3 linked regions of the Stegostoma tigrinum genome follow. The protein of the gene in region 2 purifies or fractionates together with the protein of the main gene of each other region. This does not show direct contact. Links are inferred from orthologs where the notes say so. Each region holds a gene or a part of one and is shown on either strand. Other genes may lie near its edges.

What was found. Proteins that work in one complex are often made in the same cells at the same time.
Region 1: the proteins of alyref (region 2) and prmt1 purify together in Homo sapiens (affinity purification with mass spectrometry; 3 studies listed by BioGRID and IntAct, with this or other methods). This does not show direct contact. The link is inferred for Stegostoma tigrinum from reciprocal best matches to the Homo sapiens genes ALYREF and PRMT1.
Region 3: the proteins of alyref (region 2) and c1qbp purify together in Homo sapiens (affinity purification with mass spectrometry; 3 studies listed by BioGRID and IntAct, with this or other methods). This does not show direct contact. The link is inferred for Stegostoma tigrinum from reciprocal best matches to the Homo sapiens genes ALYREF and C1QBP.

What each region holds. Positions count from the first base shown.
Region 1 is NC_081391.1:22,304,063-22,311,944, forward strand, and holds the start of prmt1 (protein arginine N-methyltransferase 1), read right to left. Parts: upstream 3,014-7,882; 5' UTR 2,987-3,013; coding exon 2,969-2,986; exon of another isoform or gene 2,910-2,968; intron 1-2,909. UniProt on the Homo sapiens protein: Arginine methyltransferase that methylates (mono and asymmetric dimethylation) the guanidino nitrogens of arginyl residues present in proteins such as ESR1, histone H2, H3 and H4, FMR1, ILF3, HNRNPA1, HNRNPD, NFATC2IP, SUPT5H, TAF15, EWS, HABP4, SERBP1, RBM15, FOXO1, CHTOP, MAP3K5/ASK1, MICU1 and NPRL2.
Region 2 is NC_081375.1:11,189,975-11,197,210, reverse strand, and holds the start of alyref (THO complex subunit 4), read right to left. Parts: upstream 3,014-7,236; 5' UTR 2,616-3,013; coding exon 2,325-2,615; intron 803-2,324; coding exon 671-802; intron 1-670. UniProt on the Homo sapiens protein: Functions as an mRNA export adapter; component of the transcription/export (TREX) complex which is thought to couple mRNA transcription, processing and nuclear export, and specifically associates with spliced mRNA and not with unspliced pre-mRNA.
Region 3 is NC_081380.1:3,374,924-3,381,991, forward strand, and holds the start of c1qbp (complement component 1 Q subcomponent-binding protein, mitochondrial), read right to left. Parts: upstream 3,014-7,068; 5' UTR 2,955-3,013; coding exon 2,723-2,954; intron 2,178-2,722; coding exon 2,027-2,177; intron 570-2,026; coding exon 482-569; intron 1-481.

The DNA of each region.
Region 1 (7,882 bases), on a different chromosome or scaffold from region 2:
AACCTCTGTCTTCTACTTTCAAACCAGTTCTGTATCCAAATGGATAGTTCTCCCTGTAGTGTTCTAGCCTTTGTTAACCAGTCTACCATGAGGGACCTTGTCAAACACCTTCACGAAGTTTGTATAGAACATGTTCACCACTCTGCCTGCAAATCCTCTTTGTTACTTCTTCAAAACAAAAACTGAACCAAGTTAGTGAGACACATTTGCCCATGCACACTTGATGGGAAAACTTCAAAAGCTCCCAACTCCAAAGAAAAATCCAAATGACGTACAGACCAAACAGAAATGTTAAATAACCGATTTCACCCAAAACAGGGGAGGAAAAATTTCCAGTCTGAGGTAGGAGCTGTTGGAATGAGAGATATAAATATATAAAATCAAGAAGCAATCAATGGAACTTTCGTCATTCACAGCTCCTAGCTTTAGCCCGCACTTATCTAGTGCCTTCACAAAAACACAGTAGAAGCCAAGGGAGGACACAAGACACATACTCGAGAAGTGTGTGTGGAAGGAGACGATTTCAGAACACAGGACACAGCTACCTGACATTGCACTGTCAGCTGTGTCTGGTCAAGGGTCAGCAATGCACAAGAGTGAAAGAACATGAGTGCAAACAATAGTGAACAATAATGGACAGGGTTACAGATAAAAGCTCAGGGGTAAGGTTTTCACACAGAGGTTGGTGTGCATATGGAAAGTACTGCCAGAGGAAGTGTTGGAGACTGGTGCAATTACAAAATCTAAAAGACATCTGGATAGGTAGATAATAGAAATACGGGCCAAATATTGGCAAACAGGACTAGATCAGATTGGGACGTCTGGGCAGCACAGATGAGAGGATGAAAGGGTCTGTTTCCCTGCTGTATGGCTCAATAAGGAGGATGAAGACATGAAAAAACCCCAAAAATCAGAATGAGAATGCTTGAAGATTTGGTGATGTAAAATTAATGAGGACAGGAAACAGCACCTAACTGGATGTAGGAAGAGGTGATTCAGTGAACAAAGTGGTAGATGACAGATGTAAAACGTCTACCCCACTACTCAGATGCTCCCCTTATAAATCAGACTTTCTTTTAAAAAATAATTTAACAAATTAACAGCACCTAAAGATCTAAACTGAGCTACGGTCAGAAACAATCCCTAAAATTAATAGTGACTGGTGCATTCCTTCAGGATTACCTCATTAAAACAGGCACTGAAAGAAATAGAAGATAGCAAGAACTGTTGATACTGGAGTCAGAGATAACAGTGTGGAGCTGAAGGAACAGGACAGTTGATGTTTCGGGTCACGAAGAAGGGTCCCAAAAGTTGACGTTTACTACCACTCTCACCCCACTAAAAACAAAAACTTTCATTGCCCGTACACCCCTCTAAGTTTCCTGCTCCTCTGATGCTGCCTGGCCTGCTGCATTCCTCTCGTTCCACACTATTATCACTGAAACTAATATTAAAGGTTTAGAGGGATTTGGACCAAACACAGGCAAATGGGACTAGCTGAGTTTGGACAGAACATTCTGTTTCCATGTTGTATGGCTCCATAAAACTGCACCTTTTGTAACACATTAACTATACATTCAAATTGGTGAGATTAATACAAATTCAGGATACAGCATTAAGCATCTGTAAATTTTAGAGAAAATTATGAACATGTATTAACTTCATATTAAAATCATGATTAATACAAATTCAGGAAATTGTATTAAGCCTGTATAAACTTTACCACAGAACTCATGAGCACGCATTAGCCACATATCAAAATCAGTGAGACTGACAGATTTTCAATTCAGCATTAACAGCCTTTGTAAACTTTACAAGAAAAATCACAAGAAACTCGAGGTTACTGTGTCAACCAAACCTCAGGCACAATTCTGACAGGGAGGATGAGGCTAAACATGGATTTGGATAGAAGGTCTGGTAAGTCAACTTATAAACACAGACACAGTTTTTAAGAAACCTTAAAAGTCCCAGCTCCACAAACCAAAAGTGGACCCAACATGACAGAACTTAGAGGAGATAAAAATCGACACATTACCTAAGGCCAGAGCGTCCAAAGACAACTGAGGCCAGTAGCCCCTCTCAAGCAGCGGGGGAGGGAAAGTGGGGTGTTGGGGGGCGGGGGTGGTAAAGAGAACTTTTGGCTCAAGTGAAAAGAAGTCCAGAAAAAAAATTACGCTTTGCTAAGCAAGACAATTATGCACAGTTGGCTCCAAGCTATAGATGGGAGATTCAGACTGAGAACCGTCATGAGGGCAAACAAAGGGACATTCCCCACCCCCTCAACCAGCTATCTCATTTGCCCTGAAACAGAAAGGTAAGCTGGACTGCTTTCAATTAGAAACGTGGATAGAGAGAGAGAGAGAGAGAGAGAGAGAGAGATGGATAGAGAGAGAGAGAGACACAGAGAGAGAGAGAGAGAGAGAAAGAAAAAGAAAGAGAAAGAGGAAGCAGGTGGAAGGAGTGAAAATTGTGAAACACTGAAGGGATAATGGAGCTGGTGAGTGTGTTTGAGGGTTGGGGGGGGGGGGGGTTCTTCTATACCTACAATGACTAGCAGAGCTGGGTGGGGAATGAAGTCTTTTTGGGGGGGGGGGGGGGGGAAGAACGATAATAAAGTTCACCCACCCCCACAAAGGAGGGAGGGGGTGGGGGGGGGGGGGGGGGACAGTAATGCACCTCCCTCTCCCGCCAAGGGGCCTATCCTCTGGCTAACAAACCCCACCCCAGGGCGGGGGCCAATAACTCGAGGCCTCGTTTCACAGCACCCTCCCCCTCCCCGGGAACATTTCCCCCCCCCCACCACACGGACAATTAATTAAATTTGAGGCGCCCCCCTCCTCACCAATCACACCATGTTTATTAATTAACTGATCAAAACCACCGCGTCGGGCTTTTATTGCGAAGCCAACCTGGACCTCCACACTCGTCTTCGACCCCGCGGTCCTCAAAGCCGCCCTCCAGCACCTACCTCCATGCACTCGGCCATCTTGTGAAAGAAGGGCCGTCATCTTCGTCATCGCTTTTATACACGACGCCTTGGTTTCCCCGCCCCTCCACCTGTCGTTCATTGGCTCGGTCTTTAACCCCGGCCCCACCTCTACATCTTCTATTGGTCAGGCTGACCGCTCATCGGAACCACCGCTTGCGGCTCCCAACACCCATTGGTTCTTTCAAAAGTCCGTCACATCGAGCCGTCTCTCCTTCCCATTGGGCGGCGCGTCTGATAGGCGGGACCAGGCTCCAACGGCCTCCTTCCATTGCATACATCACATGCCTATCAGTCTGTGGAGGCGGACCATCGCCCGGAGTCGGCCCTCCTCTGACTTCCGATTGGCCAATACGCTCCATCAGGAAATACTGAAGGTTACAGCCGCACACACGTGGAGTCAGTCATTTAGTTCGGAGCATCCTCTCGCTTGGAGGCTAATCTAAATACATATACCATAGGTTACTAGGACAAGTTTACTCTAAATCCCACAACCTGGAAGGATAAACCCCTAAACATTAGGTATACATCTGTCCTTTAGATGCACACTACATACAGTGCTCACTGCCGTTTACACATCTGAAATATTCGACCTTTTGGAACTTTCAGAACATAAAACTTAGAGGATTTGGAGGAGGTCACGCAACCCCTCAAGTTGGCTGCACAAATGGTCAGATTTGATAATGACAGTGATGGTACAGTGGTAGTCCACCTATCCCCAAAAGGGAGGCCAGAATTGATGTCCCACCTGCTCCAGAGTGCATAGAGTCATACAGGGTTCCAGCACAGAAAAAGAACCTTCCGCCCATTGAGTGATGGTCAAAATCAACCGTCTCGCTATTCTAATCCCATTTTAATGGGGATCTTGTGGCAAAGTACTATTGCTTTGACCTCTGAATGAAAAAGCCTGGGTTCAAGTCCCACCTGCTCAAGAGGTAGAGTTACAGATTTGTACAGCACAGAAACAGACCTTTTGGCCCAACTCGTCCATGCTGATCAAATCTCCTAAATTAAATCTACCCCAATTTACCAGCATTTGGCCTAGATCCTTCTGAACTCTTTCTGTTCATAAACCCATATAGCTGTCTTTTAAATGTTATAATTGCACCAGCTTCTATCATTTCCTCTGGCAGCTCATTCCATACATGCACCATGTGTAATAATCTCTCTGAACAGACTGATTAGAAAATAAAAACCCACAAGAAATCATGAACAAAAACAGAAATTGCTAGAAAATCTTAGCAGGTCTGGCAGCATCTGTGGAAAAAAAAATCAGAGTTAACGTTTTGGGTCTTGTGGCCCTTTGTTTTTGGATCCTTACAAGAGAAGTCCAAGAAAAGTGCAGACAGCAGCCATTTCTATACACAGCCTTCTCTGAATTCACAAAAGCTTCTAACTCCGTCAACTAGGTGGGATTGTGTAACATCCTCTTAAAGTCATTTATCATCCTCCATTTGCTGTAAACTGTGAAACAGAACATAGAATGCTAGAGAATCTCAGCAGGTCTGGCAGCATCTGGGGAGAGAGAAACACAGTTAACATTTCAAGTTCAGTAAAATCTCTTTGGCAGAACATGCAAATTATAGTTCTCACCAATGAATGTGCTACAAACCCAATTTTGTGTAAACTCAGGCCAAGCAAAGTTTTGAATTATAGCAACATTATTCTCCATCTTCCCTGCTCAAATAATTCAGAAGACCTTTAAAGATGTAGGAGCACAATTAGGTCACTCAGCCCATCAGGTCTGGTCCACCATTTGTTCACGGCTGATGTGTTTGTCAGCACCATTTTCCTGCCAGCTCATCGTAACCTCCAAACCTATGCATTACTGTCTTTTATACAGTCAACGACTGGCCTCAACACCCGTCTGTGACAATGAGTTTTACAGATTGACCATCCTCTGGCTGCAGATACTCCTCCTCATCTCAGTTCTAAAGGGTATTCCCTCCACTCCACATCCATGAAGGTTCCAGCCAGAGTGCGGCTTCTTTACACGAGCAGGAAACTGTCCACCCTGCGTAGTCCCCAGCCCAGAAACAACGCCACCCCCAACCTCTAGCATTGAGCTACCACCTGCAGATAATGTCTGCACGTCTGCATATTCAGAGGCTGAGCTGCTAACCATACATTAATGGAGGCGGTAAAGTAGGGATTAGACTAAACATTGGAAAGCAAAGGAATCTATTAACGTGCTCCTGCTGTACAACATAAAAACCAAAAGGATTGCAGATTCTGTAATTCAGGAATAAAAACAGAAGTTGCTGGAAAAGCTCAGCAGGTCTGGCAGCAGAGTTCTGAGGAAGGGTCACTGCACAAGAAATGTTGGACTCTGATTTGTTTTCGCGGATGCTGCCAGATTGCTGAGCTTTTCCAGCAACTTCTGTTTTGCTTTCTGGCATGCAACACTTGCCTGACCATCACAGATCAATGGCAAATCACTACACAGTTTAGATTATATCACATAACTTGGCTCTCTCTTTTCAATGAAGGAGACAATGAAATTCTCCACGATGCCAGTTATGTCTTCCATGGGACAACAGTGGCTACCCTTAAAAATTACACTGTTAGCTCTAAGACATTATAGGGTATCCTGAAGTTGAGATCAAGGCAATATGGAAACAGAAGCTCATCATTTCTTAACCACTGAAGTTCCATTTTAATGAGCAGGAACTCCAGCTAGCCTTCATAAAAACAATGTCAGTCACTGACACCTAAAGAAGGTGCGAGACTCCGAAAGCTTGTCTCTTCAAACAAACCTGTTAGACTATAACTTGTCGACTTTCACAAAAATAGGAAGGTGAATGAGACAGCAATCTAACCATGAAATCATCACTCACCTTCTGCACATCCAGTCATCAGCGACCATAATTTGACCAAGGGATTTGAATTAAATGCTGGAGGAATGCCTCCTCTTGGTTGCAAACATCCTTGATGATCCATTTAACTACTAATTTTAAGCTCTGGAATAAGCCAAATTATAACCAATACTTCTAATTAACTAAGTGACTCAAGACATTTCACAAACGCATTACCAGACGTTTACAGTGGTTAATACTGCTTCCTCACAGCGCAAGAGACCCGGGTTTGATTCCAGCTTCGGGCAACTGTCTGTATGGGGCTTGCACATTCTCCCTGTGTCTGCATGGGTTTCCTTTGGGTGTTCTGGTTTCCTCCCACAGTCCAAAGATCTGGAGGTTAGAGCGGACTTGCCATGCTAAATTGCCCATCGTGCCCAGGGATGTGCTAGCTAAGTGGGTTAGCCATGTAAGAGTACATGGATAGGGTGGGGGGTGGGGGGGGGGGTGGGTGGGGGGTGGGGGGGGGGGGGGGTTAAAGTCTGGGTGGGATGCTCTCCTGAAGGTCAGTGTGGACTCGATGGGCCAAGTGGTTTGCTTCTGTACTGCAGGGATTCTGTGATTCTATTTAAACCAAAAACAGATGAAGCTGGTAGGCCCCGTAAACCCCTGCAAGGTCTTGGAGAATGATCGAGAGAAAGGATGTTTAGTGAAGGAATTTAAGAGCTTAGGGTCCATGCAGCAGAACATATGGTTGCACGTTCCATTGTTGCAAAGGGAGACAAAAGTTGAAACAGTACATGTTATTAAACTGGAAAGGGGACAAAAAAGATTTAAGGATATTACTGAGACTGGAAAATTTGAATTATAGGGAAGAGGCTGGGACTGTTTTCCCTAGAACATGGGAGGCTGAGTGGTGACTTTATTGAGGTTTAAAAAAAAAGAGGGGCATAGGTAAGATGAATAGCCAAGGTCTTTTCCTCAGCATTGGGTATCTAAAACGCGAGGGCATAGGTTTAAGGTGAAAGGAGAAAGATTTAAAAAGGGACCGGAGGGGCAACTTTTTCACACAGAGGGTGGTGCATATATCGAATAAGCTGCCAGAGGAAGTGGTAGAGGCTGTACAATTACAACATTTTAAAGGCATTTGGGCAGATAAATGAATAGGAAAGGTCTAGAGGGACATGGGCCAAATGCAGGCAAATGGGACTGGGTCAGTTTAGGAAACCTGGTCGGCATGGAGGAGTTGGGCCGAAGGGTCTGTGTACCTCTATGACAAAATCAGAATCAGACATCCATGCTGAGGAAAAACAATAAGTGTCTCATCACACCTCATTAGAAAGACATTTATTTGTAAAACATCTGTACAGAGGATGTTAAAAGATCCTTACAAATTAGAGTTGAGCTTCAAACAATTTAGTTCATACAAACTACACCCAGCAAGAATATGAAACATGTCTAAACACATCATATCTTAAACATATTATCAATAATCTGACTGAATGGTCTTTTTCAGTATTGTAATCATTCTAAATGCATACTTATTAGTTGCTGGATAGTGATAAGGAAGCACAGGCGGACAATTCACATCCCCTTAGGTACACAAAGACTTTCCCTTGTCAAGGTTTTCTTTGTATCGGCTTCTGTGGGTCCAGGTAGACCTTTGCCAAGTGCCAGGAGTAAATAGCTTAGAGGTATTATCCCTCGGCTATTAATCCAGAAGCCCAGGTAATGTTCTGGGGATCCACGTTCAAATCTTGACCGTGGTAGATGAACCTAATAAAAATCTGAAATTAAGAGTCCAGCGACAATGAAACCGTTACCAATTGTTGGGAAAACCGATCCAGTTTCCTGATGCCCTTTAGGGAAGGAAAGTGCCAACTTTATCCAGTTTGTGACTCCAGACCCACAGTGATGTGAATGAGTTTTAACTGCCCTGTGGGCAATAGGAGATGCTAGTCTAGCCAGTGATATTCATGTCGTGTGAATAAAGAAAAATAAAGTGACCATTCTACAGAAGCATGAGAGTCAGCCCCTCAAGCATCTTCCATCATTCCATTCCATTAGATCATGACTAATCTGAAAATTCATTCCTTTTACC
Region 2 (7,236 bases):
AGAACTGCAAGACCACTCAGAGCAAAGCAATGAGTCAAGGCCATTTACTTCAACAGCTAATATTTAAATCATGTCAGATTTCTGAAGACTAATGACAGACATGGGACATGGAACTACAAGTCTGAAGTCTAGAAACAATTAAAACCTGGAAGTGCATTAAGCAGAAGATACTCAAAAGTCTTTGAGGACAACATACTGGAATGAATAAAAAGGTACATGAAATTCAAGTGAGATGATGTTTTGGAGGAGGATTCCGCTCCTTCTGGAGAAAGGAAATGGTTTGATAAAAGGGGGTTGAAACAATGCATTTAGATAGGAACAGTTTTTAGTGGCTCAGTATATCATCTTATCAAACCAAACTGATCATCAGATTTATTGGCCAGAGTACCTAGACTTTAGGATCTGCAGGTGATGGGGTGCTGGACATATATTTAGAGTAGCCAAAACAACGTAACATAACAAAAACCACACTTCAGGGAGAAGAGTCTGAGGGGGGATAAAAAGAGAAGAGAATAGCAAGGCCAACTGTATTGCTATTTAAAAATAACTTCCACACTATCCTGTTGTATTGTTTAATCAGTGGCAGGAAGAGTTCAATTCTAAACAAACTAGAATACCCATGAGCATTTCCAACCCACAACTCAGGACCAATATCCTGCACTTCACTTACCTGAATATCTGCATCAGACACACCAAAGTCTAAGTTGGACACCAAGAGTTTTCCACCAGTTTCAACACCGCCGCTAGCGCCAAAACCACTGTCAAAAAGGTCATGCTGCCACTTGTCTGGGAGTTGTTTCGGCTATAAGAAAATAGAGATATACCTCGCTGACTTCCTACATTTTGTACCCCAATACATTGGTTAATTTCACATGTCCACCCTATCTATCTTTCCCCTCCCCCTATATTTACAATATATTATAGGCAAGACTGAGTCACTTGCTTCAGCGATTGTCATGGGAGTTTCATTACAAATACACTGACCTTACCTGAAATGGGTTAACTATTTAACAAAATGACATGTGCGTATGTACTGAATATAATTTAGTATCTAATTAAAATGTTTGTACTCAGTTCACTAAGCTAGCAACATATAAAGTGGTCCTGTACACACAATGATAGATGAAAATTAAGCATAGAAAATCAGATGCAACTGTTTACTTGGTGAGAAATGAATTCACTTATTATCCTACCACTGTTTCCACAGCACATCATCTCGAACTAAAGCCTGGATTCCTTCTAATAGCCACTAGCCAGATACTTTGGTGAAATTCTCCTCAGCTGGTGGTAGCTTCTCCAGCAGAAACAGCTGCAACGCCTCCATCTCTTCCAAGCGAGATGCATTCCACTGTCCAAAATTCTTGGCAGCGCAGGAGTCCATAACAAAGGAACGCTTTGCATCAGCTAAGTTCCTTTTAATAGAACTGATCAAGAGTCCTTCAAAAAAAAAGTCCATGACTTGCCAGGTAACCAACCGAGCGAAGGATATGCTCGCAGAAGGTTCACTTTTGTATGAACGTTTCATTAAAGTCCAAAGAAAAAGAGGCAGTTTGAAATAGTCCTGATCAATTCAGGAGTCTGTTAAAGGTGACCAGAGATGCGAAGCTGCCGTCGAGAAATGCGGTGCAAATAATCAATCGAACTTTTGATGTGGTAAAGTGGCAAAAGGTGGTCCTTACAAACAGTCCATCCTTTGTAAATCCGTCGGTGTGAAGCACAAAGGGAGCGAGGGCATTATTACTGCGGCAGGATTGCTGATCCCCACGCTCCTCCCCGACATCTTTGTGCTTCGGGTCGGGCCGCCATTTTAAAGCTCCTGGTGAATTCGGCTCCGGTGTCGACCGCAGGCTCTGCTCGGGAGCCGCCATCACATTTCCGAGCTCTCAACAGACTTGGACGGACGTTTAAAAGCAAATTATTAGCAACGAAAACACGAATTTCCGCTTGTCAGCCTCCTCCGTAGAAATCACGAGGCGCCGTGTAACAATCCCTTCTTCCTCGATTCTCCGACGTTTTCACGAAAAAAAATAACTCGTGGCCAGCGGGGCCCGGGGTTTGTTTTAAAAAGTTAGCGGGCTAAAAGATTTTTGTTTTAAAAAAGTAATGAAAAAAAACCGAATCTATAACGGCTCCAATATGGCGCCGCTCGGTTCAAAATTCAAACCGAACGTTTTATATTAAAAAAAGCACTTCCAGAAAAAAAACAAAATAAAAATCTACAAATGATTTGTTTTTCCTTCCTCTCTCTCTGGATTTAAATGAAACATTTTTTTCCCCTATCATTTCTGTTTTTTTTGTGTGTTAAAACCGCGGTCGCTTCCTACCCTGCTGTACGGAGCCGGTCTGTTTCTTCCTCGGATTGCACTCTGTCTGTTGCGCATGAGGCCTACAGCCAGGGCTCCCGCCCCAGCTCCACCGCCACCGCGGCCTCCCGCTGCTCCACGACCGGCTAGGCCGCCTCGGCCGGCTCCCCGGCCCATACCGCCTCCTCCTCCACCACCACCACCACCTCCTCCGCCGCCGCCGCGGGCACCTCGGCCCCCGCGGCCGCCTGGGCTTTTCTGCCGGTTGAGTTTGATGATGTCGTCCAGGGACATGTCGAGTTTGTCGCCCATTTTTGCTCTCGGAGAAAGGAAAAAAACCCTTTAATCCCTTTCTCCCGCCCCACACAACAAAACCGCCTCTTCACGACGGAGGGCTTGGCTTTCGAGTATCCGACAGGGGAAACGAAAAACAAGCTAATTTTCCAGATTCATCAACAAAAAAACACCTTGATTAAAGAGTGTGTTTTTTTATATATATATAATGTAAATTGGTATAACGATCTATCGCAGCTTTGACCGCGGCGCCGCACCTCACTGACACGGTTAATGGCGGCTTTAAGGACAGAGAGGGCGGGATGGGGAGTGACGACGGCCCGTCCACACACTGCGCACGCGCTGCCCGCCACGGCCGGTCACAATAGCAGTCGTCATCAACGACTCCCACTTAGGATGCGCCCAATCAGCGGGCAAGGCGGGAAGGAACAAACAACGGGGCCGGGCTCTGCCCATTCAGAGAAACTGAGCATGAGACGGAACCCCCGCGGCGGTGACGTGTGCTGACGTCACGCGCAGCCATGGACACACCCCCTCGGGGGTAGCAGGAACTGCAGACGCGGTAAAATCTGAGATAACAAGGTCCGAAACATCTGCCTTCCTGCTCCTCTGATCCTGCTCGGCCTGCTGCGTTCCTCCAGCTCTACACCTCCTCGGGGGAGCAGTTTCTCAGCCTTCATTGGTAACTCCCACAGGAGTTGGGGGGCGAGATGTGGGGAATGAGCAGGGCTGGGTAGCAATACATGGATGGGAATAGGGTGTGTGTGTGTGGTAGGTTGATATGTCGGGAAGACGTTCTGAGGAAGGGAAACGTTAGCTCCGTTTTTTCCCCCTTCATGGATGCTGCCAGACCTGCTCAGATTTTCCAGCAACTTTGCTTTTGTTCCTGATTTACAACACTCATTGTTATTTCGGTTCTGATTTGTGGGAGGGCTATGTGGTTGGGATTTTTCTGCGGGGGTGTGGGATATTTATATGGTGGTGTAAGGGGCATATTTGAGAGGGTGGGCATTTTGTGGGAGTGATTTGAGGGACGTTTCAGGGAGAGGTGGGGGAATTTTTGGGGGAGATTTAGGTTGAGTTGGGGTGAATGGGGTGGGATTAGGGAATCAGATGTGAATGCAGAGAAGTATGGGGATTGGAGAGACAGGGATGCGAGGGATGGGGATAGGTCTAGGAGAAAGATTGGGGGATGGTGGTGTGGAGGGATTGGGGAATGCTAAAGAAAAAATGTTGTAATGCAAAATGGCAAAGATTACCATCTAAAATTGAATCACACATTTCATTGATCAGCTATTAATTTTAACAAGTGTCTTTTGAAGGGGCATACAGAAAACATTGAATCAAAAACGTTTCCACTATTTTGTCTGTACACTGCAGCCCCAGTGGTACCAACCTATCAGTTATAGAAACCAACAACCATACCAGCAGGCACAGCACCTGCCTGCTGCAAGGAAACCTAATCATCAAATAGAGGCAGGTTCCGCTCATCACTGCTTGCTACATGGTGTTGTTCAATAGTTATTTTAGCTTGCTCCAGGGGGCAGATCAACCTTTGTCCCTCTCTATGGCTGGCTGTTTAGACTGAGTCTCCATTCACATATAGGGCTGGGCTACATTAAGTAAAGCCATACAACTGCAGCTTTTTGTTAACATTCTGTTTGCCTCCCAAAATTAGTTCTGCTATTTCAACTCACATCTGGTATAAGTCTAGCATTTTATAGATTCTACCATTAACCCTATCTCCTCTAGTAATATTATAATTTATTGATATCATCATAAACTCGGATTGACTTCAACACAGTGTCTGACTCCCTTGACAGTCCAAAGGGGGAGGCGACGGTCTAGCAGTTTTAATGCTGGACTGTTAACCCAGAGACCCAGGTAATGTTGTGGGGGTCCAGGATCAAATCTTGCCGTGGCAGATGGTAGAATTGAATTTCTACAAAAATCTGTAATTAAGAGTCTAATGATAACTATAAAACCATTGTTGATTGTCAGGAAAAAACCCATATCGTTCATGAATGCCTTTAGGTAAGGAAACTGACATCCTTACCTGGTCTGGATCACATGTAACTCCATCTCACAACAAAGTGGTTGACTCTGAACTATCCCCTGGAATGAGGAACAAATGTCGGCATAGCCAGCAATGTCCCCAGTTAGTGAATGATTTTAAAAAAACATTGCTGCACTGTCCAATTGCCTGCATCAACCACAATTTCCAGATTAATGCAATCAAAATTTAACCCATTCTGTTTGGCCCCTGCCTATAGTCTTTAAATTTGGCCCTTTCCCCCTCTCATATACTCCCTTGGCAACTACCTTTAGGCTAAATCAGGAAGTGTAGAGCTGTTCTACGGTTCAACTTCAAGCTGAGCTCACTAGACATCTATTCTGATGGGGATTGGACTGCTTTCTTCCAACTTCATGACAATGCCACACATCTGTGATAATAAAGTGTGGAGCTGGATGAACACATCAGGCCAAGCAGCATCTTAGGAGCACAAAAGCTGATGTTTCGGGCCTAGAGACCCACATCTGTTTCCATCTCTTTCTCTCCAGCTTACAAATCTTGAAGCCACGTGTTCAGCATTTTACAACTTAACATCAGTAATGAAACTGCATTCCTTCCTGTGTAAAGATTCACCTTCCCATTAGCTAGCACAGTGGCTCAGTGGTTAGCACTGCTGCCTCACAGTGCCAGGGACCTGGGTTTGATTCCACTCTCAGGTGACTGTGTGTGCAGAGTTTGTACATTCTCCCCTTGTCTGCATGTGTTTCCTCCGGGTGCTCTAGTTTTCTCTCACAATCCAAAGATGTACAGGCTAAATGGATTGGCCATGCTAAATTGCCTGGAGTGTTCAGGGATGTGTAGATTAGGTCGGTTATAGGGGGATGGATCTGGGTGGGATGCTCTTAGGGTTGGTGTGGACTAGATGGGCCAAAGGGCCTGTTTCCACACTGTAGGGATTCTACGATTCTATCTGCACAATAGTTCCATAGCCTCACCCCTCACTAACTTTGCAACCTTGTCCAGCCTCTCAAGTCTTCTGTACTCCTCTAATTCTGCTTCTTGTGCTTTCCTAATTATAATCAGTCCACCATGCCTTCAGCTGCCTAGCCTGTGAGCACTGAAATACCCTGCTTAAATTTCTTCAAGCTTTTTCTACTCATTTAAGACATTCCTTGAGACCTACCTCTTTGGCTTCTCCTTACGTGTCAGGTGCCAAGTTTTTGATTATCAGCCTGCTATGTGACGAGACATTTCTACCACTAAACACAAGATGTTGCTGTCCTCTCCAAGAACCATGTGTTTTCCCACCCCTAATTCAAGTCCTTGCATGGACCATCCTCAGTGGTAATCTCTCGCCTTGCTTCCAAGTATATATCCTTCATTTCATACACTTTCTCTTCCAGTTTGACCAGCATTGATCGCTGATTCACACTTCTTACATTACTACAATTTGTATAATTAATTTTCTGTAACTCAAACAAAGCAGTTGCAGCAATCAGTTTCTTTCACACTCAGTTGCTGTTTCTTTTCAGAAGGTCAATGCAATTGAATTGGCGATGCAACGAATACTATTAAACTTCAAGCAGGATATGTTGGTTCAAATTCCATTAACGTTAAGCTTTGCTGTGAGCATTTCTTTCAAAAACTGGACTCCAAAATGAGGGGATAATTAACGAGGAATATTGTTGATGTTGTCTGTGGGTGGAGGAAGGAAATGTCAAACTATTTTGAAGGCATTTCATTAAATACATAATTGTATTTGAGCATTGCAGATCCATTCATAACTTTAAAGGATTTACTGAACAGTCTGAAGCAGGCTAACTTGTTTCAATGGCATAACTTAGAAAATCTGTGCTATATTTTATGGGTTATTGTTTTTGATTCTGCTCATTTTGTCCTTCAGAATAAAATTACAGTAAGAAGCCCATGGGAACAAATACATTGAGTTTGACATTCAGAAATTTATTAGTTGTGCTTGGCATCAGTCACTACCCCCTCAGGAACAATTATTCTTCTGTTTCATCTGTTGAAAATTGTCATTTCCTGGTTACATTCCCATCAAGAGTGAACATATCCCACATGGATTATAAAAGGTCCCAATGTTAAAATCACTGCAGCTGATTAAGGGATGAGTCAAAGGAGACAAGGACATACCTTCTGCCTAGTCACAACTGATTCTATTGATGATTATCATTATTTCTGTACTTTTCAAGAAAGAAAAATCAAAGTACTATAAATGTGGAGTCGGTAATAAGGGCTATAACTGATGAATAAATTCATACTTTATGTTCTAGCAATTGAACAATTACTACCAGTTTGGTCTGAGAATCTTAAATCTCTAATCTTTTACTGCTAATATCTTTCTCAAAGTCAGATTTATATATAGCTATCCCATACGATGTCTGCATTTGTTTATGACAAACTGTTCAATGGATTAAAAACAATTACATTTTGTAACAACATTTGTCATTTCCTTATGATTTTTCATTTTCCAACTAAATTGGTTTGATTCTCAAGAAAGATTCTTGATAAATAACATTTCAATGTAAATATTGGGATAAGGGTTTTAAGAATGGTGGTACTGAGGGGGTGGTTTATGTGGAACATGACCCTGATCGGTCTAAT
Region 3 (7,068 bases), on a different chromosome or scaffold from region 2:
AATACTGCTGTAGCGCTAACGTTAGGTTGGACAAGGGCAAGAGGGTAAGGCCTATAGCAAGTTACCTTCCACATGCCTTGACTGTACCCAGATCCACCTCTCCGTACCACCCAGTGAGACCACACGTCCAAATACAGAACTCGTATGCCCAGGTAGGTTTTTACAAAAGTTCAAGTTCAACCCATTCTGGTTCAAACTTTTCACCCAGTCAGTTATCGAGACCAATGGCGTTCACTGTTCTAATATTGCCTGCTTTGGGATTCTAGGAAATAAAGTGGTGCTTTAAAGGGCTTTTAAATACTCATGTACATTCTGTTCACATAGACAGACCTCCAACTCCTATCTATACAAAATTCCACTCAACCCAGGGCACAGGATGAACAATACACAGTGGAGTTTGTTTAATTAATGCCTGTTTAATTACCTCTCAACTTTACTAAGGTGACAGTCAAGAGTACTGTGCAAGTTCAATCCAACTCACCTCATTCTCTGAACCCTTCTGTCCTTCCTGTGGTTCCTCCTCCATTGTTGGCGGAATGCTGTTATTGATATTAAAGGAGACTGTAACTCTACAAACAGAAAGAGGTAAATGGTCACTATGGATAAAGAAGTAGTCAAAAAGGTGTCACCAGCTGCAATTCTGAACTGCAAAGAATCGGAGAATGACAGGGAGCACGTTCTGATCTCAAACTGCTCACAGCCAAACTTCATTTAAAACTGGGACTAGTAATATATTTGTCATGACATTTAAGAACTTGACAATGATGTACTAAAGCTGAATACTGGTCCTGCACAGGCTAAGGAACTATCAGAATCTACATGCAATGGTGAACATTATAATCTTAATTTGATACTGTAAGCTTTCTAGACTAAATATACAGTGAAATTCTATGATAACTCAGCTCAATATACAAAACTGATTATGGTTTGGGGGGGGGGGTCTTATGAGTTCAAAATTAATTAAATCTCTATTTAATCCTCATTTTGCTTGCTAAAAATTTTCTCGTTAACATGATGCATCTATTATGCAATCTCACTTATTAGACTCTAGAGTCCAAGTTATAACAGACTCCCATTATAGAAGCGCTGTTGTCTTGTGCAGGTTCACAGGCACATGCTTCACAGGAGGCTCCACAACACTGAGGATGTCACCCAGTAAACAGGACAAAATATCTGCTACCAAACCTCCCAGCTCGGCAAACACACCAACATCTACAACCAGTACTGCAGCCACAAATCTTCACTCAAATCCTGGACTTCCAAATGTATTTCAACATATTTTCTAAAATTAAAATGCATTTTTCAGAGTGTAGTACATACTCATTCTACATTCAATTCTTTTGGGGCAGAAGTAACTGGTGCTGAGGTATTGGATTGTTGGCTTAGTTTTCACTTGACTGAGACGTTGTGGATTTAAATGCCCTGCTCCAGGAGTTTGTATATTGATAAAAACAATTACTGCTGATTCAGATCTTAAATACAAGCTGCTGGAGAAATCCAACAGATAACGGCACCATCTCCAGATCCAAAAATGTTACACTGGACTCAATGTTATTTGCTTGGGGAAGCGAAGGCCTGGAGATATTAGCTTTAAGCTATTAATCTGACCGTGGCAAACAGATTTCCTTCCTAAAGAAAAGAAGCTGTCGTTCTTACCTGGTCTGGCCTACACGTGACTGAGGATAACATGGTTGATCTTAACTGTCCGCTGGGATAGAGGATAAATGCTGGCCCTGCCAGAGACACCCATGAGGGAATGAAAAAGAAACTTTAACAGAAACTATCAGCCATGTGGCCTTTGTTACGTACTCCTGTCCATCATCTACTGCACAACAGGAAGTGCTTTCTTTAGGATGAATTGTTAAAGAAATACCATCAAGTTCAGGTGAGATTTTAAAAACAAATCCATGGAACTTGTTTAAAAAAAAACAAATTCTTTTCCTATCCACAATCCACTGACATGATTTTAACTAAAAACATACAAATTGGCTGCTTGCCCAAATGATACCCGAGTGACCTCACTTACTTTTCACCATCAACTTTCCTTACAAGTTTCGCCTCAGTCCCATTCAGCCCAATTTCCCAGCCTCCTGACACCTTCGGCAGTGTTGAACTCTTCTGGATTTTCTTCTCCTCCTTGATTTCATCAGTGAGAAATTGAGCGAATGCTTTGTCACCTACAGGGACAATGCAAATCCAGCCAGTTGAGATCAGATACAAGAACACCCCATCATGTTTCACACAGACAGCGACCCAAAGCTCTCGCTGGTTTCACAGCCAAGGACTTGGCCCTGAAGAAGAGGAGACCTTCAACTTAGAGCCTAAGTTATAGAAGTCAATAGTATAGAAAAGGGCCCTTTAAACCCATTGAGTTTAAGAATAATCATCTAACCATTCTAATCCCACTTTGCAGCACAGCCTGGGTGGGATTGTCTGGCCAAGTTGTGGACAGCAGTGCACAGCACACCAGAGCAGAGAGCCCCACCATGGAACCAGGGAGAGGTGGGCGAGGGGCTGAGAACAGGGATGGGGAGCTGGGGGGCGGGGAACCGGGACGATGGGGAACCTGGGGGGGGGGGGTTTGGTGGTGGTGGGCAGGGGACCTGGGGGGAGGGGGGGGGTTGGTGGTGGTGGGCGGGGGACCTGGGGGGGGGGGGGGGGGGGCTTGGTGGTGGTGGGCGGGGGGGGCGGGGACCGGTTGTGCACCCACCCCCTCCCTTACCCTCCGTGTGCAGGGCCCCGCAGCCGCAGGACACGCCGTTGAGAAGGTGGCTGGAACGGAGCGGCCTGCGGCCCGAGGCCGAGCTGGAAAGCAACCACATGGAGCGAGCGAGGCCGCGGATCCCAGGGGGCCCGGTCCGCAGGACGGAGGCGATCGGCGGTGTCAAGGTGGCCTGAGGGCCCAGGCGGGAGGAGACCGACACGAGCCGGGACAGGAACGAGAGCCTCAGCATGGCAGCAGGGAACGGCGTGAAGATCGTGACCCGGAACCGGAAAAAATCAGAGCAACACCATGTTCCTCCCACCCCCAACCACAACCTATCAGCTGCAGGAATGGAGGAACCAATCAGCTGCAGGGATGGAGGAACCAATCAGCTGCAGGGATGGAGAACCAATCAGCTGCAGGGATGGAGGAACCAATCAGCTGCTGGGATGGAGGAACCAATCAGCTGCTGGGATGGTGGAATCAATCAGCTGCTGGGATGGAGGGAGCAATCATATATTCAAATTGAGCAGCCAAAGAACGATTGGGATCCTTGGATGAATCCACTCTTAAGAGTGAGGGACCAATTAACTGCTTGGATTGAGAGACCGATCAGTTTCTGGGCTCGCAAGACCAATCATCTACTGGGATGAAGGGACCAATCACCTGCTGGGATCTAGGGAACAATCATTAATGGGAAAGTGAGACCAAACAGCATCTGTGATCGAGGGAACAATTAGTTGCTGGGGTTGATGGAGAAAACAGCTGCTAGGATTGAGATACTCATCCGCTTCTGGAATCAAGAGTCCAAATCAGCTGCTGCAATTCAGGGGCCAATCATCTTCTTAGATCAAGGGACTGGTAGCTACTGGCAATGAGCACTAAATGAGATTCTGAGATTGAGGGACTAATTGAGCGGAGGTGTAGCAGTGCTGCGTTCAAGCTCCTGAGTTTGTCCACATACATCTGCTTTTCTTTTTAAATTCCTTTTTGCTTTCGTTTTCTCCTTTTTTTGGTGATGGATGTTGCCTAAGCATGTTCCGGAAGCAGCAGGAGGAAATTGGAGGTGGCTGCTTCAGTGCTGAAGGGATTGTGGCTTTGTCAGGTCTGGAGCGTGGAGCGACGGAAATGTGGAAAGAGCGAGAGGTGACTGAGGTCTCCCCGCATCTGTGACAGCAGTGGTGAGAACCAGACAGCCGACATCTCCCAGAGACTGAACTAAGCAAAGGAGTTCGAGGCCACAGCATGCCTAAGCACACAAGAAAATGTTGCAACTTTAACTTTAATTTCTTTATTTTTCCAATTAATATTAAGGACTTTAATATTAGCTATTACTTTATTTCTCTATTTTTCTGTTTACACCATGATAAACTGTAATGTTTAACTTTTAACATTGTTTCTCTCCTTTACCACTTTCTACCTGGGTACCATTGTACCTGAGAGATAGTAAGAACTGCCGATGCTGGAATCAGAGATAACACAGTGTGGAGCTGGAGGAACACAACAGAAGGGTCCCAACCTAAAATGTCAGCTTTCCTGCTCCTTTAATGCTGCCTGGCCTGCTGTGTTCCTCCAGCTCCACGCTGTGTTACCATTGTACCTAAGATGTGGCAACATTGTACACTTTTCATCTGACAATAAAACATCTAAGTCTAAAACCAAATTTAATCAGCTGCTGGGATTGAGGGACCAATCAACTCTGGAAATGGATGGAACCAATCAGCTGCTTGAGCTGAAGACACAATCAGTTACTGGGATGAAGGGATCAATCACCTGCTGGGATCGAAAGATCAATTAACTTCACGGGATGGAAACACCAATCAACGCTAGGATTGAGAGACCAATCAGCTACTGAGATCAAGGGACCAATCAGCTGCTGCGATGAAGAAACCAATCAGCTTCTGGAATTCAGAGAACAATTAGTTACTGGAATTGGTGGAGCATTCAGCTGGTGGGATCAAGAGACCAATCAGTTGCTGGTGTGGAGGGACCAGTGACAGTGAAGTTCAAAGATCACAGCAACCCCAGTGGGATCGAGGGACCAATCAGCTGCTGAAATGGGTGGAACCAATCAACTGCTGGTTTTTGAACCAGTCAGCTGCTGAAATGGGTGGAACAAATCAACTGGTTCAAAAACCTAGCAATCAGCTAGGGTAAAGGGATGAATCAGCTTTAGGTGTTAAGGAACCAATCAACTCTTAGAATTGAGAGATCAGCTTCTGGGATTGAGGGGCCAATCAACTGTTAGGATTGTGGAACTAAACAGCTGGTGATTTTGAAAAACAAATCAATTGTTGGAATCAAGGAACCAATCAAAGGCATCTAGTCCCAATTTGATACCTGATTTCAATGACAAAAGGGATACAGGATTGTGGAAGGGAATTGTTAGATTGGATGTCTTCCACCTTCACAGGATACTGGATATCACTTGGAGAGACAACATCTAAAAAGATATGCTGCAATAGTCTGGACACAGGTGACTACTGAAGATTGAGAGAGAGATTCAACTGAGACCGACAGGATATATAGTCTCTCTCCCGCCAAGTCAGGAAGGCTGTAATGAGTTGGATCAAAGGATGAGGTTTTGTTCTTTGAATTTACATTGAACTTCATTAGAAAATGGCAGCAAACTGAGGACAGTGAGGTCAGAAAGGAACAAAGTGGAACCTTGAGATCGTGCTTATGGACTGCATGGAAATGTTCTGCAAAGAATTGCAGGATTGTTGCAGCATAGAAAGAGACCATTCGGCCCATTGTGTCTTTGTCAGACCTCAGGATGTGCAATTTGCTCAGAGCCTTTCCTCCATAGCCCTGTACTGTCTTCCTTTTTCAATAATAATCCAATTCCCTCCCAAAGCCATTGACTGAATCTGACTCCAACAAACTCTCAGGTTTTGCATTCCAGATCCTAGCCACTCCATGCATTGCAGAAGTTGATGGGTTGACTAAACACAAATTGGGTGCCTGCTTTCTCATCATGTCTGGAAGCAATGGAGACACAAGTTTGCCCTTGAGTTTAATGATTTTAGATTATAAGCTCTGCATCACTTTTTATTTGGAAACTACTATTGCTGATTCTATTTCTCTTAATGACAGAAACTCTGGACACAAGCTTTATTTCTTTATTAGATTTAGTTCCCCTCTAAGATTCCACTGCTGGCCCTGGTAATTGCATTTGGATGATGTTGCCTGGAGGTTGTGTGTTGTCTCATCACCTTGGAATCAGAGGTCAAACATAGAAAATGCTGGTGCTAAGGTGAAGAAACAGATAAGAGAAGACCTAGACCTAGACAAGCTCTACCTACGTTTGTATAGTTGCCTTAGTCTGGGAGATATATTCTCAGTGTTGGACATCAAGGGGGAACATCAGAAACAAATAGAAGGAACCAAATCAATTCCATCTTTTGACCATCTGGTACATTGTCCATGTAGAACTCTAAACCTATAATTGGATAATGCCATTACTTGCCACCTTCCAAAGTCCCTTTCCTCCCTAATCCCTGCCTAAAACATTGCAGCTTTTAATTCCAGTTGCTGTCCATGTTTAAGCTAGGTCTCAGCTATAGTCACTACATTAGAATTAGCTTTTGCACATGTACTGAAATGATGACAGTGAAAAGTTTATAAGTCCTCACTTAACGCACCATCTTAGGTACAAAGGTACCTAAGTGCAGCTTCTTTAGTTACAAGATCTTAGAAAACAGAGAAATGAAAAGCCCAGCATTGCAGAAATAAAAGTTCAGAACAAGGGTCTTCCAGCCCAGACCATGCTGGCACCTAGCCACCAGGCCTTGGCTCCAGACTGCACGGGGTTTCACCTGGGAGATTGCTCTGGAATCACCTCAAGACTGGGAGTCCACGCTGAGGCCAGACCAGCTCAAGAGACCATCATGCCACACTGGACCACTGCCACGGGAGGCCACTATGTCAGGCTGAGAGGACCTCTCATCATGTTTGTGCTGAGGCCAGGAGTCAATTGAGGGCAGGAGGGAAGAAGAGGAAAAAGACAATGAGCAAGAAAAGAGCAGGCAGAGCAGACAAGCTTTGGCTGAAGCGTCATACTCTGTCACCATCTTGGACCACAGCTCCATTTGTTTGATCTTTTAAAGTGATATGCAAACCAAGCAAACGCGATGTGAGAATACTTTTTCACACAGCATGAATCAGGATATTGAATGCATGACCTGGAAATGTGGAGGCAAGTTCAATTGAAGCATTCAAGAGAGCTTTGGATACTTTTGGATAGTAATGGTGTGTTTGGGGTATGGGAAAGGAAAGGGGATTGGTTATAGATAATACATTCGGTGCAGGGACATTTCTGCTCGAATTCTGTGATTCTGATTTTCTATGTACCTTGTCTTGCT